Linked DNA regions of Caenorhabditis elegans. The protein of the gene in region 1 purifies or fractionates together with the protein of each later gene. This does not show direct contact. Each region holds a gene or a part of one and is shown in the gene's direction. Other genes may lie near its edges.

Evidence for each region. The genes of interacting proteins can lie anywhere in the genome.
Region 2: the proteins of larp-1 (region 1) and rps-6 fractionate together in Caenorhabditis elegans (co-fractionation; one large-scale study listed by BioGRID). This does not show direct contact.
Region 3: the proteins of larp-1 (region 1) and ZC196.2 fractionate together in Caenorhabditis elegans (co-fractionation; one large-scale study listed by BioGRID). This does not show direct contact.

Annotation. Positions count from the first base shown.
Region 1 is NC_003281.10:5,014,641-5,019,418, reverse strand, and holds the start of larp-1 (La-related protein 1), read left to right. Parts: upstream 1-1,768; coding exon 1,769-2,156; intron 2,157-2,260; coding exon 2,261-2,589; intron 2,590-2,843; coding exon 2,844-3,015; intron 3,016-3,067; coding exon 3,068-3,122; intron 3,123-4,399; coding exon 4,400-4,450; intron 4,451-4,778. Other genes in the region: wip-1 (WH2 domain-containing protein), read right to left, coding at 1-35, 130-195, 391-613, 661-771. UniProt on the Caenorhabditis elegans protein: RNA-binding protein that promotes oogenesis by repressing fem-3 expression during germline development. Binds poly-U and poly-G stretches of RNA in vitro. Regulates target RNAs expression either by regulating their stability or translation.
Region 2 is NC_003279.8:13,950,475-13,953,708, forward strand, and holds rps-6 (Small ribosomal subunit protein eS6), read left to right. Parts: upstream 1-1,686; 5' UTR 1,687-1,703; coding exon 1,704-1,841; intron 1,842-2,013; coding exon 2,014-2,374; intron 2,375-2,429; coding exon 2,430-2,671; 3' UTR 2,672-2,720; downstream 2,721-3,234. Other genes in the region: usp-3 (Ubiquitin carboxyl-terminal hydrolase), read right to left, coding at 630-944, 1,024-1,154.
Region 3 is NC_003283.11:8,737,633-8,742,825, forward strand, and holds ZC196.2 (Major sperm protein), read left to right. Parts: upstream 1-1,803; 5' UTR 1,804-1,804; coding exon 1,805-1,979; intron 1,980-3,400; coding exon 3,401-3,641; intron 3,642-3,708; coding exon 3,709-3,823; intron 3,824-3,866; coding exon 3,867-3,980; intron 3,981-4,036; coding exon 4,037-4,357; intron 4,358-4,555; coding exon 4,556-4,627; 3' UTR 4,628-4,679; downstream 4,680-5,193. Other genes in the region: ZC196.3 (DUF713 domain-containing protein), read left to right, coding at 50-238, 287-466, 512-805.

The DNA of each region.
Region 1 (4,778 bases):
AAATGAAGATGATGAGACAATCGATGGCTTTTTTCCTGAAAAAAACATTTGTTTTTTCACTTGGGTTAATTGGAATTAGTGAAAAAACCAAAAATTGGGGGAAAACGACAACAAAAACTGAATGTGTACCTTCAACAGCTGGAACTGGAGCAGGAGGAGGTACTGGTGGAGCTGATGAGGCGGTTGGAGGGGGTCCTGAAAGTGGGATAGAGGGTTATAATGGGTAACGGTTATTTTAAAAAGGGATATCACTGAAAACAATTTTTTTTGCCAGTTTGTTCTCCGTGCGAGAAAAAATACTTTAAAACATTGAAATGTATATTTTCCTAGTACTTTAAATTCTTGTTGTGAATTGCGTTAAATTGCCAAAAAGTTTAAACTTAGATATACCTATACTAGTAGTTGCTCGTCTAATTTTATTCTCGCTTGGTTTCATTGGCATTCCATTCGCAAAAAGACCTCCTAATCCGCCAGACATTTGTGGAGGTTTAGCAGCCGGACCATTTCCGTTTCCAGAATTTCCATTCGATGAAGATCCGCTACTTCCAACGACTTTTCCAACAGATGGCGCTGATCGATCATTCGTGACTGTCTTTTTCAGTTTTAAACCTTTCTGAATATTTAAATTATTTTTACAAATTAAAAAAACTTTAAACTCACATGAATATCGCCAAGAAGAGCATTTCGAGCATTGCTGGATGGTGGCGGAGCCGATGCAGCCGGAGGTGGCGGCGGAGGTGGAGGCGGCGGTGGTGGAGGTGGTGGAGGCATTATCTAAAAGAGTGAAAAGTTAAGGAAGTATGAGCGCTTTTAATAAGACAAACTTTTATGAGTCATCATTGATTTTATCGAAAGATTATTTCAAAACTGAGAAAAGGTTAAACTAGGGAAGAGGAGACATTGAAATTTCTACGAAACGGGGAAAATAGAGTAAAGAAACATTGCTTTCTTTCATGCAGAAAAACAATTGAAAAAAAAATAATCTGTCCCGTCTTGGCCTTCAAAACGTGTGTTTACTCGGCAAAACAACAAAACCAGCGGACACGAGAATCGCGTCAAGGCGACCAAAAAGACGCATGAGGGCTAGTTATTGACGCGTTCTCGGTGCGCGAGCTGCCGGGCATTTCGTGTGTACCCCCAGACTGTGTGTAAACTTCTAGTGCAATGGTAAAGCATAGGGGCGCTACGCAGAAATTGAACTTTTCGCTATTTTATGTCTTTCTTTCTTTCTGTTTTTTTTAATATTTCAGAATAAAATAGTATCGATTTTTTGGACAAATATTTAAATTTAAGCGATTTCTCTTTTACATTTCATTGATTAAGGTTTCTAACAAATAAGTTCAAACACTTTTTTAAAGGTTAAATATCTTCTCTCATTTCTCTGTTCTCTCCATTTGTCGTCAAGGGTACAATCTCAGGCGGATTAAAAACTTTATCGAAAGTATTAACTCTATCCATAGTCTTCTTGTTTTCCAAAACTTCAAACGATTCTGATAAAATTCTTTACCGTCTTATTTTCAGAAAGTTGAAAAAACCGGAACAATCTTTCTGAACAACATTAAAAAATTTAGATGTTCTTCAAAATCGAAAAAGTGGATAGTATGTTCTTCCATGTTTCCATTTTCTAGCTTGTAAATTTATTCAACTTTTTTTGTCGCACTTCGGAATACGTTTTTTAAAAATTTTCCAATGCCAATTCAGTCCAAAATATTTTTTTCCAGGTAAGAAAAACTTGCTAACATCAACAGCAAGTAGAAAAGAAGATCGGATGGCCGAGAAGCAGCCCATGCTCTCATTCGCAAAAGTAGTTTCTGGACAGGCGGAAGACGCTTCGTCTCCATCACAGCAGGTTCAGCACACGCAAGATAGCTCTCATTCTTCTACACAAAACGAAAACAGTCAACCCGAAAAGCAGGCACATCCACCACATAACAGACGTGAAAAGGAAAATGTTGGTGGACGTTCGGAAAGACCACGAGGTGAAGGAAAAGGAAAACGTCGTAATAACAGAAAAGGCGATCGAAAACCGAGAGGAGAGACTAAAACCGAAAAACCAGCTGAAAAGGTAGCAACAGAAGAGGTGAAACCAGTTGAGATTCCTGTTGTGCTGGAACCAGCTCCATTACCGGCTATAAACGCTTGGTTCAAAAACAAAGGTGCGATTTTTTTAAAATTATATATTCATAAACCGAATTGGTTATGCCTTTTTTGAAAGTGTTCTTGGGTTTTCACGTTTTCCAAAAAAAAATCATAGTTTCAGAAGAAGCTGAAGCCGCAGCTGCCGCAGCTCAAAAGGAACAAAAATCCGAAACCGCCGCAGACCAATTTATTATTACTGCAACTCCAGTCGTTCAGAAATCTTCAGCGCCAATTCCAGAAAAGAAACGGGCTGTTGAGCCAACTCCTAAACAAGCAGCGCCAATCAAAGAGAAGTCAAAATCCAGAGAATCAAAGAAAGAGCCATGGAAAACATCCACAGCCCCAGCAGCAACTGCTCCTGTTACTGAAACAGTCACTGTTGCTGCCACTCAGGATTGGCCAACTCTAGCGAAAGCCGAGCTTAACGGACATGTCTCCCCATCAAATTCAGTGAGTTAATTGTTTTTTTTTCAATCTAACACGGATTTTCATAGCCATAGTTGTAAATGAAACACGAAACTTCTTTTTTTTTGAAAATAGCTTTACCTATATAAGCTAGTCACTCTGTGAATGATTAATATACAAACGTGCATAGTTCTAAAGCGGTTTAAATTTAAGATTCAATTTTTGAATATTGAGTGAATTTTTTGCTGAAAAAGCGGTTCCCACTTATTTTGAGTTAATTTTTAAATGTATTATTGCAGGATGATAATAACGAAAGCAGTAGCAATTCGCAACACAAAACTGGTGGAAAGATGACTAAAAATAGTTGGAAGAAGGTTGATATCTCAGTCGACTATGGAAGTAAAGGAAAAGGAGCACCGCGTGGAAATGGCGGCGAAAAAGGAACCAGACGTTCGGCTAATGACGAAGCTGGTATGTTCAAGAACATCATTTTAAAACCGCAATATTGTGAAAATATTTTCAGTTCGGCGACGATCTGGCGAAGAGGATTCAGCAAGCGGAGATGAGCAACAATACTGGTGAGTGTTCAATACAAATTATTAGACGACGTTGCTCGCCATTAGCTCTTATTTTTATTCGGCTCTCTTCATTTATTCGAACGAGCCTCTCAACGCTTTTCACCCACTTTCCGTCGTTAGAGCAGCGATTAAACGTCGTTCTCGTCTATGGCTAGGGGAAATGGAGCGCTCTTCTCTTTTTGGTGTTTTCTCTCCATTTTCATCTATTGGAGCCATCTAACCAGAGTCGACCACTCGTTTGTGCCTACAACCTCTCCTTTATACACTAGCACTACCACCTCAACAACAGATTCACCCGTTTTTATATGCATAAATTTGCGGACACTTCGCATACTTTGACATAGGCAATGTGTGAACAGATTTTCACCTTCTGTCCATAACTTTTGAGAACTTGTTTTATTTTTTCATGTAGTTACGATAACTGATAATTTAGGCACACTTCATTTTAATCACCCTAACAATAAAAAGGCACTTCTGAGTAAAACAAAAACCATCAACGTGGCATGCAATTCAAACAGATTCTGCTTACTCCACTTTCTGCAAACTAGATTCAGAACTGAAACCAGATTTTTCTGCAGTATATTTTTAGTTTTATGCGTTCTTCAGAACCAACTAAGTTTGGAGTCTGCTTTTTGTGTTGAAAAAAAAGAAAACATGTTTGAAATTCGTCATGGCACGTTCGTTTCTATTTTCTAGCTGATGTGGATGCTTCTCTCAGCGTCAAAAGTAGTACTCTTTTTTGGTAGTGGCACCCCTCGCCATAGCTGAGCCTGGCTGCTTTTGGTTCTTTCGCACACACACCACGCAATTATTTTCGGGAGAAAAAGGAGAAAGGAAAAAGAAGAAGGTCCTCTTCTCTTTTTATTTCTTCAATCTCTTCCTCCAATTCGTTGGTCTCCTTGGAAATAGCGACAACAAAAGTCTTGAATTTTCATAACGGTTAGTAGTCCATGTTGTCATTCTCTTACCGGACAATTGACAACGCGAAGACATTATCGTATACGTTTAGAATGATAACACAAAACTCTGGTCGGTGGCTTCAATCATGAGAATGCTCTGTCTAGAACTTGATCATTCTTTTGATAGGGACTTGTAAATTTATGATGGAAAATTGAAATGTTGGTGCACTGAAAAAGCTGTTATCGGAATGTTTTCTTGGGATAGGAAATTTGGAAGATTTGCTGTAATTTTGTCTGCTTAGTTTATAAGAAGACGTTTCATAAATCTTTTCACGCACTACAAGTTCAAATTATCATAATCAATTGTTTGTTTTCCAGGTCTCGAAGCAAAGACAACAAGAGCCCAATCAACGAAATGTCGAGTGATCGGTGAGTATATGTTTCACTTTCTTTTATAAACACCAACCCGTGAAACATCATATAAGGTGTAGTTATCTAGGCAATCCATCAGAAACAACAAATATACGGCATTTTCCTCGTCTCTTCTTTTTTTTCTAACTTTGATATAGAATCGCACTTTTTAATGGCAATTTTCGATCCTCCGCTCCCTATTGCCGTGTCGTCGCCTTTGTCATGATGATCATATTCCCTGCATCTGCATCTATAGCGCGGGCACATTCAGCGATATAATACTAGTTTTATGATACTTTTGACACGATGATTTTGTGCGAACACTCGATGGTTTCGCTCCAAATGG
Region 2 (3,234 bases), on another chromosome or scaffold:
GGCTGTTTAGGTGCAAAAACGGATTTTGAAGTTTTTTGTGCTGAAAGATCGGATTTTTTTGGCTTTTTAGGAGGAAAAATGGATTTTTGATGTTTTTTCCCCTGAAAAATCACAATTTAGGGGCTTTTTAGTGGGAAAAATGAATTTTATCGCAGAAATTGATGAGTTTCTGCCGAAAAATCGGAATTTTTCGGATTCTTAGGGCGAAATACGATTTTTTGATGTTTTTTCACCTGAAAATCGGAATTTTAGTGATTCTCGTGAGGAAAATAGGGTTCTGTTCAAGTTTTTGCGGAAAAAATGATTTCCCAATGGAAAATTAAAGTTTCTTCGATGAAAATTAGGATTTTCATTTTTTTTTTTAAGAAAAATAAATTTTTATGAGAAAACGAACGTTTTTGACTGAAAAATCAAAATTTTCAGAAATTCCAGAGAGAAAAATGGAATTTCTGAGGAAAATTGGCGTTTTTTTCACTGAAAATCGCAATTTATCGGACTTTTCATGGGAAATACGATTTTTACGAGAACTGTAACGTTTTTCAGTGGAAAATTCGATTTCTAGCAGGGTTTATCGATAAAATATCGGTTTTTAACCAATTTTTAGTCCATTTTCCTCGAAAAATACGCACTGAAAAGGCTGTGCCGGTATAGTCGGCCCGTCGCCTCCCTCCATAACGTCTTCCCGGTCGAAAAGGAGCTTCAGCGATTTTAGAACTCCATATAAAGATGGCTCAAAGTCCAGTGACACTTCATCATCACAGGAATAGCAGTAAAGCTCGAAAGAAATGCAATCAATGACGACTGGGTGGCTGGTTTCTTCAAAATGATGCAAAGCGTGGCCCGAGTCGTTTCTTCCGCACAGAATTCGTCCGCAAGTGAGGCACATCAGCGATTTATTGCAATTATCGCATTCGTCGCAGAAGGTTTTAATTATTTCCTGGTTTCTGGAAGAAAAACGAGTTTTTAAAGCTATTTTTAGCTTTTTTTAGCCATTTTCTAGCCAAATTTCTCAAAAAAACTCACTTCACCACCTTCCCACGATTCGAATTTCCCTCCAAGAACAAATTATTGTCCTCCATGTCCTGTTTCTTGCGGAACATCCCCTTGGGCACACGCTCCACACAATCTTCCGCCTTTATATGGGTGCAAAGCATCTGAAAAAATTCGAAAATCAGTCAATTTGAGTGTGAGAGCAAAGTTTTGGCACTTAAAACGCGGATAAAAAATCGATAATCAAGAAAAACAGCAAATTTTCGGCGGAAATCGAAGAAAAACCGAAAATCGAGTCGGAAAATCGGAAAAGTTTGGAAAAAAATAAAATCCATCGGACGAGATAGTGTGGGAAAGGTGGGGTGCAGCAGACGACGAGGCGGATGGGGGATGGGTCTCGCCACGAAGGGCGTGCGCCTTTAAACTGGAATTGTCGTTGGCCTAAAAAGTTTTCGCTCCTTTTTTCATTTTTCCCTCGAATTTTTGGGTGAATTTCTCATTTTTAGGCGAACTTTTCGGTTTTTTTTTCGAATTTTCAAAATTTTAAATGTTTTCCTGATAGTTTTCCTCCACATTTCGCAGGATATTTGCTTGGAAAATCAAATTTATTAGTTTTAGGCCCATGTTTTCGTTTTTCGCTTCAGTTTCTCCTTTTCTCACCCCGTTAACTCATTTCCAATGTTTTTCTTCTTGCAGGTAATAATATTTGAGCGATGAGACTTAACTTCGCCTACCCAGCCACCGGGCTCCAAAAGTCGTTCGAGGTCGATGAGGAGAAGAAGCTTCGCCTCTTCTTCGAGAAGCGCATGTCCCAGGAGGTCGCCATCGATGCTCTCGGTGACGAGTGGAAGGTTAGCGAGTCACCCAAAAACACAGAAACGAAGTGATGTTTCTGTGTCAAATCCTCATTGTTTCACGTGCTTTTTCTTCGCTGAAATGGCTGTGACTAGACATACATTGAGAGTCCCAGTTTTTGTTTTTGAACCGATTCTCGGCTCTTTCAAACGAGTTGCTTTTTTCCAGGGATATGTCGTCAGAATCGGAGGAGGAAACGACAAGCAGGGATTCCCAATGAAGCAAGGAATTCTCACCAACGGACGTGTTCGTCTTCTCTTGAAGAAGGGACAATCCTGCTACCGTGAGCGCAAGAACGGAGAGCGCAAGAGAAAGTCCGTCCGTGGATGCATCGTCGACGCCAACATGTCCGCTCTTTCCCTCGTCATCGTGAAGAAGGGAGATGGAGAGATCGAAGGACTCACCGACTCCGTTCTCCCACGCAAGCTCGGACCAAAGAGAGCCTCCAAGATCCGCAAGCTCTTCAACTTGACCAAGCACGACGATGTCACCAAATACGTCATCACCCACGACAAGACCTTCCCAGATGGTGAGTTTCTTCAATATTCTCTTTAAATTTAGTTTTTAACTGTCTAAATTTCCAGGAGTCACCAAGACCATCGCACCAAAGATCCAGCGTCTCATCACCCCAGCTCGTATCGCCAGAAAGAAGTACCTTCTCCGCCAGAAGCGCAACCAGAAGATCAAGATGCGCGATGACGCCGCTGCCTACCACAAGCTCCTCGCCAAGTACTCCAAGGAAGAGCACGACGCCAAGATCGCCCGCAGACGCTCTTCGGCTTCCCATCACTCCGAGTCCGAGGTCAAGAAGACCAGCAAGAAGTAAATACTGCTGCTCGTTATTGTTTCCTAATGAAATTGTTGTTAAACTTAAATCTTTTTTTTTTGTTGTTCACTCCATTCGTCTCACCAATTATATTTGCACCCATTTGTCGTTGTTAATTTTTTTGAATGCTTACTCCGAGTCCTGGCACGCCACTCAGGGTACTTGGTCGATCCGTTCTTCGCCTGCGGGGCGGATAGCAGGCTTCGCAGCTTTCAAAGCTTTTCGGTTCTTTGCTTGGCTGATAGTTGTATGACTCAACCGAAGGCGTCTCTCGTGTGACCTTTTTATAAAGAGTCGTTCCATCTAAACGGGAGTCGTCCATTTTTGTGTTAATTCTGCTAAGATAAAGCGCGCTCCTGAAATTATCTTCCAAAGTGCTGTGATTCTTTTTCAAGGATACGGTAGAAGTCTTGCTATGAGATATCTTCCGCCACAAATATAGGAATTCTCATGTTTTAATTGTTTCCCAGCAAGACATTGGCCAGTTTTCAACTGAAAATTCATTTTTCGATTAATTCCGGGTGTTGAATTCAAAAATCTGATAGAACTACTGTAAATTTAAT
Region 3 (5,193 bases), on another chromosome or scaffold:
GTAATGATTGGAATAATTTAAAATTTCTAGCAATGTTGTATTTTTATAGAAAGAGTTCGAGGCTGAATTAGAACAAATTCAAAGTCAAATGAAAAATCGTTTTATTGCACTATTTGAATGTATCAGATTAAAACAAAGATTTGAGGAAAAGGAAGAAAAAGTTGCTGATTGGATTCAAAATTGCTATAAGCAACCGATCAAGAGATTCCTAGAATATTTTCGAGATTTTCAGAATGTGGTAATTTGCATTTGCTAGTGTTTAAACATAATTTTTTTAAACATTTAGGCGCGTGAATGGAAATATTTTAAACGCTTACCGTCGGAATCACTTCAAGATGCATATGAAGAAATATCAATTCTTTCAGAATGTGTATTAAGCCTATTTGATACTCTTGAGTTTCTGTTTATCCAACTCGGTGAACAACATGACATAGCTACAGATGCATTATTCATCAAAGTTCTACAGGTACTCTCGTGTGTATTATCTTTCCAATGAAAATCCAATTTTCAGAAAAGTATAATTGATTTTGCACTTGTTTTATCATCGATTCTGAATATTCTTGATGTGAACGCCCCGTCCCACGAATGGTATAAACAACTCGAAAAGTTGTTTTTTATGATAAAGCTCAGTGACATTCCGACAACAACATCACTACGAAAAATTTGCAAAAAAGCCGTCGTTTCCAACTATGAGCAGTTAGAATTCCCGAAGATACACCTCAAGAGTTACGTCGTGATCCACGAACAAGACAATGTTCAAGCAGAAGAAGTTTGTACTTCTGAAAGTAAATGTGTTATTTGTTAAGTGATATAGATAATTTATATTTATATTCACTTCATACATACATATGTATTTACAAATTATATTCACTGAATGAAAAATTGATTTCTTTTAATCGACATACTTCGATGCCTTCAGAATCACAAATAAATTATAGAAACTTAGAGAAATTTAAACAAGTTTCTTGCCTTTGGAGGAAAATTGAAAACATCCAAAAAGTATGATATTTTCAAGGCAGTTTTCTACACACCGTCTCTGTGTTCATCAAACATCGGAGATCTGCTTTCATTTTCCGTGTTCAAAACAGTGTTTCGTAAATCTACTTCGTCTCTTTCAACAACCCTATCTATCCTATCAACCTATCGCTGGTTAGTTTTGACAAAATTAGGGAAGAGTCTAATGTTCAACCTAATCAGTTTTGCAGAAGGTAGAAAACAGAGTTGAACTCACATTGAGACGTCGTAGAGAATAAAACATTTAAAAAGTGAAATCGTGGTTTTTATAATCTCTCAAGTTTCGAATATGTTTTATCATGATTTGTTTTCTTCTAACTGTGGAACTTTTTTTGCAATTTATTTGGAATGAATTTTTGTAAGATGTTGAAATATGTACACAAATCTTAGCTATCTTTTAGCTATTGTAAGTAATTGTAAATGAATGTTTGGGGTTATAATAATTACTAAAAAAAACGTTTTTAAGATGCTGAAAATGATGTTATAATCTTTATGAGTTTTTGAGTGAGTTTTTATTGAAAAAAAAACACTCAGAAGTGGAAGACTCCATAATTATACTTGTGAGCATGATTTTATGTTTTGAAGACAAAAATATTGTGTTCTCAAAATAAAAAAGATTTGTTTAGTTGTGTGATCAACATTAATTTGTAAACAATCTTATCAGCATCTCTCTCGCGTTTTAGTCATAGCAATTCGTAGCGTTTGTTCTTTCGAAAAACGTTTCTCTCATTTTCTTGAAAGTTTCTTTGCTCTTTGAACGTTTCTTCGCTAATTTTGAATGTGTTCAGGAATGTGTGGTAAAACAATTCTTCTTGAAGTGACTCCCTGCGACAATTTTGTGTTCAATAAATCAACAAATCTGACTGATACTGCCTATGTTACTCTGAAAAATATATCTGAGAAACCAGTATGTTTCAAAGTGAAAACGAGTGTACCAAATATGTATGTCAGTCGACCAAATCCTGGTAAGTCACATTTATTAGAAAACTTTTCTCAAAAAATTACTTATGTATTAGGGTGAGCAATAAGTTTTTTCGTATTTTCTCAGTTTTCATCCTTTCTCAAATATTTTGTATGTGGTACATAGTATTCTGTTAGTAGTGCGAAATATATTGATACCATATATTTCCGCCCACTTCCAAACTGATTCATCCTCAAAACTTCGCTCGAAAAAAATATCCAATTTTTTCGATTTTTTCGGATTCTTTGGGAAATCCAAATGTCAGTACTCCGTGAGGTATTAGACCATTAGTTGTATACATAATATTAATTAAATTCAGAACTGAGCAGTATTAGATACCTTTTTCCCTTTTTGTTCAAAAATATAAAAAATATTACAAAAAATTACAGCAAAAAAAATACATTTTGATTTTGAGAGGGTATAAAACCGACATCGTAAAAAAATATAAGTACGGATGAAACTGCAATGTTGTTCTTCAGATTAATAGCAACATTTCTGCAGTTGAACACTTTTTGATATCTAAAACCAGTAAAAAGTGACAGGCTATTTAGTCAGAGGCACTCATTTTCGCTGAATCTGCCACATTCTTACGTTTGCCTACGTAGTTTTGTTAAATCTGAATTTATCAAAAACATTTTTCACAAAAACGACCAAACTTGTTGAATATGAAATCACAACATGTAATAATGTGTTTTTTGTTTTTGTCTTAACTTGATTTTTGCAATACGTGCAATTCGCAAAGTTATCTTAAAATTTTTTTTTCTCGAATTTTTTTGATTCAAATTTAGAGAAATTTTCTCAATCTTTGGTGTTTTTTGTTCCAACGCTTGTAACTTCCTGGATAACATTGTTATCAAAAACTGATCAACTGAAAAGTTGTGCACAAATATGTAATAAACAACATTGCAGTTGAACACTTTCTGATAAATTAAGATTTAACAAATCTACGGAGGCAAATGTAAGAATGTGGCAGATTCAGCGAAAATGAGTGCCTCTGACTCAATAGCCTGTCACTTTTTACTGGTTTTAGATATCAAAAAGTGTTCAACTGCAGAAATGTTGCTATTAATCTGAAGAACAAGATTGTCGTTTTATCCGTATTTATATCTTTTACGATGTCGGTTTTATACCCTCTCAAAATCAAAATGTATTTTTTGTAATATTTTTGAACGAAGGAAATTTAGTAAAATTTGGATTTCCCAAAGAATCCGAAAAAATCGAAAAAATTGGATATTTTTTTCGAGCGAAGTTTTGAGGATGAATCAGTTTGGAAGTGGGCGGAAATATATGGTTTCAATATATTTTGCACTACTAACAGAATACTATGTACCACATACAAAATATTTCAGAAAGGATGAAAACTGAGAAAATACGAAAAAACTTATTGCTCACCCTAATAAATACAATTTGAATCTACTGCTTCAGATTTGCTGAAACCTGGAGAAGCGAGGCAATTATCTGTCAAGTTTCGATCGAGCGACAAAGTTAGCCTGAACGCAAAATCATACAAGCTCAAAATAGAATCATGTGAATTTGAATCTGAAGATATTGATGATTTGAAAAGTTTCTGGAGCAGCATCCCTAATGAGAAAATACTTGTCCATAAGTCACCTATTATTCTTGGGACTGGAAGCAGCCCAGATTTTAGAAATGATCAAATTGCATCGTGAGTTTTCGTTTTTCTTAATTGAAATATCTTAAGAGAGATCTACTTCAACAATAATTTTTTTTAGAGAATCTTCGAGACAATCATCTCCTATTCAAAATGTTTCTGATGATGGCAAAAGTTCACATCATTCAACAGCCAAACAATTACAAGAAAATAATGAAAATTCAAAGAGCTTAAAGGTTGTGTTAATTTGTTACCTAAAAATAACAATCATAGTTTTAGTATACTAAACAACTGGTTGAAGTGCCTTTAGGCGAAAATCAACAAGCTGATCAAACTGGAACCACCTGTGATAAAAAAGACGAGTTTCAAAAAAAAAATCAATTGGAAGTTGAGGTTAAAATTAAAAAATATATTATTTTTAAAAGTTCTTTTTATAATTTTTTTTGCAGATAAAATTTGTGGATAAAATTCATGAGATCAAGTCCCAATTAGAAGACAGTTTTGAATTAAAATTGAAAGAAATGGAAATGAGACTGGAGGAAAAGTTCGAAAAAAGGATATCAAGATTAACACAATTTATGGAAACAATAAGTTTGTCAAATAGTCCTGGGAACTCTAGACGCGTTTTTGAATTGGACGATAATTTTTCAATAGTCGCAAAAAAGGAATTGGAACAAATGCGACAAGATTTCGAAAAAGTGCTAGATGGGCAGAACAAAATAGCAGAAGAGAAAATGAATGAGTTGAGGAAAAGAAGAGAGGAGCTTCAAGTATGAATTTAATTTTCATTTGAAAGAAAAGTAAAGTTGTTGCGTGGTTTGTTTTTAACTTTGAACGCCCAAGTTTTTTTACCGAATTTAAAATTTTAAGGTTTTTTATTGAAAAAAAATCAATTTTCAATTTTGTATTCGAATAGAAACTTTAAAATTATTCAAGGGCCAGACCACCAAAAACATGCATTATTACAGAGAGAATCAGACGAATTGAGAACTATGGAGGAACAACTTGGCATAACGGAAAGAATCTTCTGGGCGAATTGATAAGAAATTACTGTTTTTTTTATTTACAAATTTTAATAAAATTTAGAACTTTTTGGAAGATTATAACAATTTAAACAATTGCCTTTTACATTTTCTCATATCAGGTGTAGATGACAACCGCATAAATGTTGGACAATGTGGTAAGATTTTCGCGGGACTTTACGAGGACTTATAAATAGAACACACCTGTTAATTTGATTGTATTTAACTGTAGATTCTGATTTTTGGTATTGTACATATGATAGTTCTACCGTTTTGTTTGTTTTCCAGTGAATATTTGTTGCAGATAGAAGATAAACTTTCATTATTCATAGTTTAGACATAAGACATAAACCCCTCCCAAATTTAATGAAAGTGTGAGATGATTGATTTTTCTTTCGGTATTTCTCACATTTTCAATAAATTCTTTCTCATACCTATTTCATGTACACAAACTCTTATCGAAAACACAATTTAGACGTAGCAATACATTTCACTGTTCTCTATCTCTCTTCAGTCACTAACTTCATTAGTTTCACTGCAAAACAAAAAGTATTCCAGAAAAATGGTCCAATATTTTTGTTTTG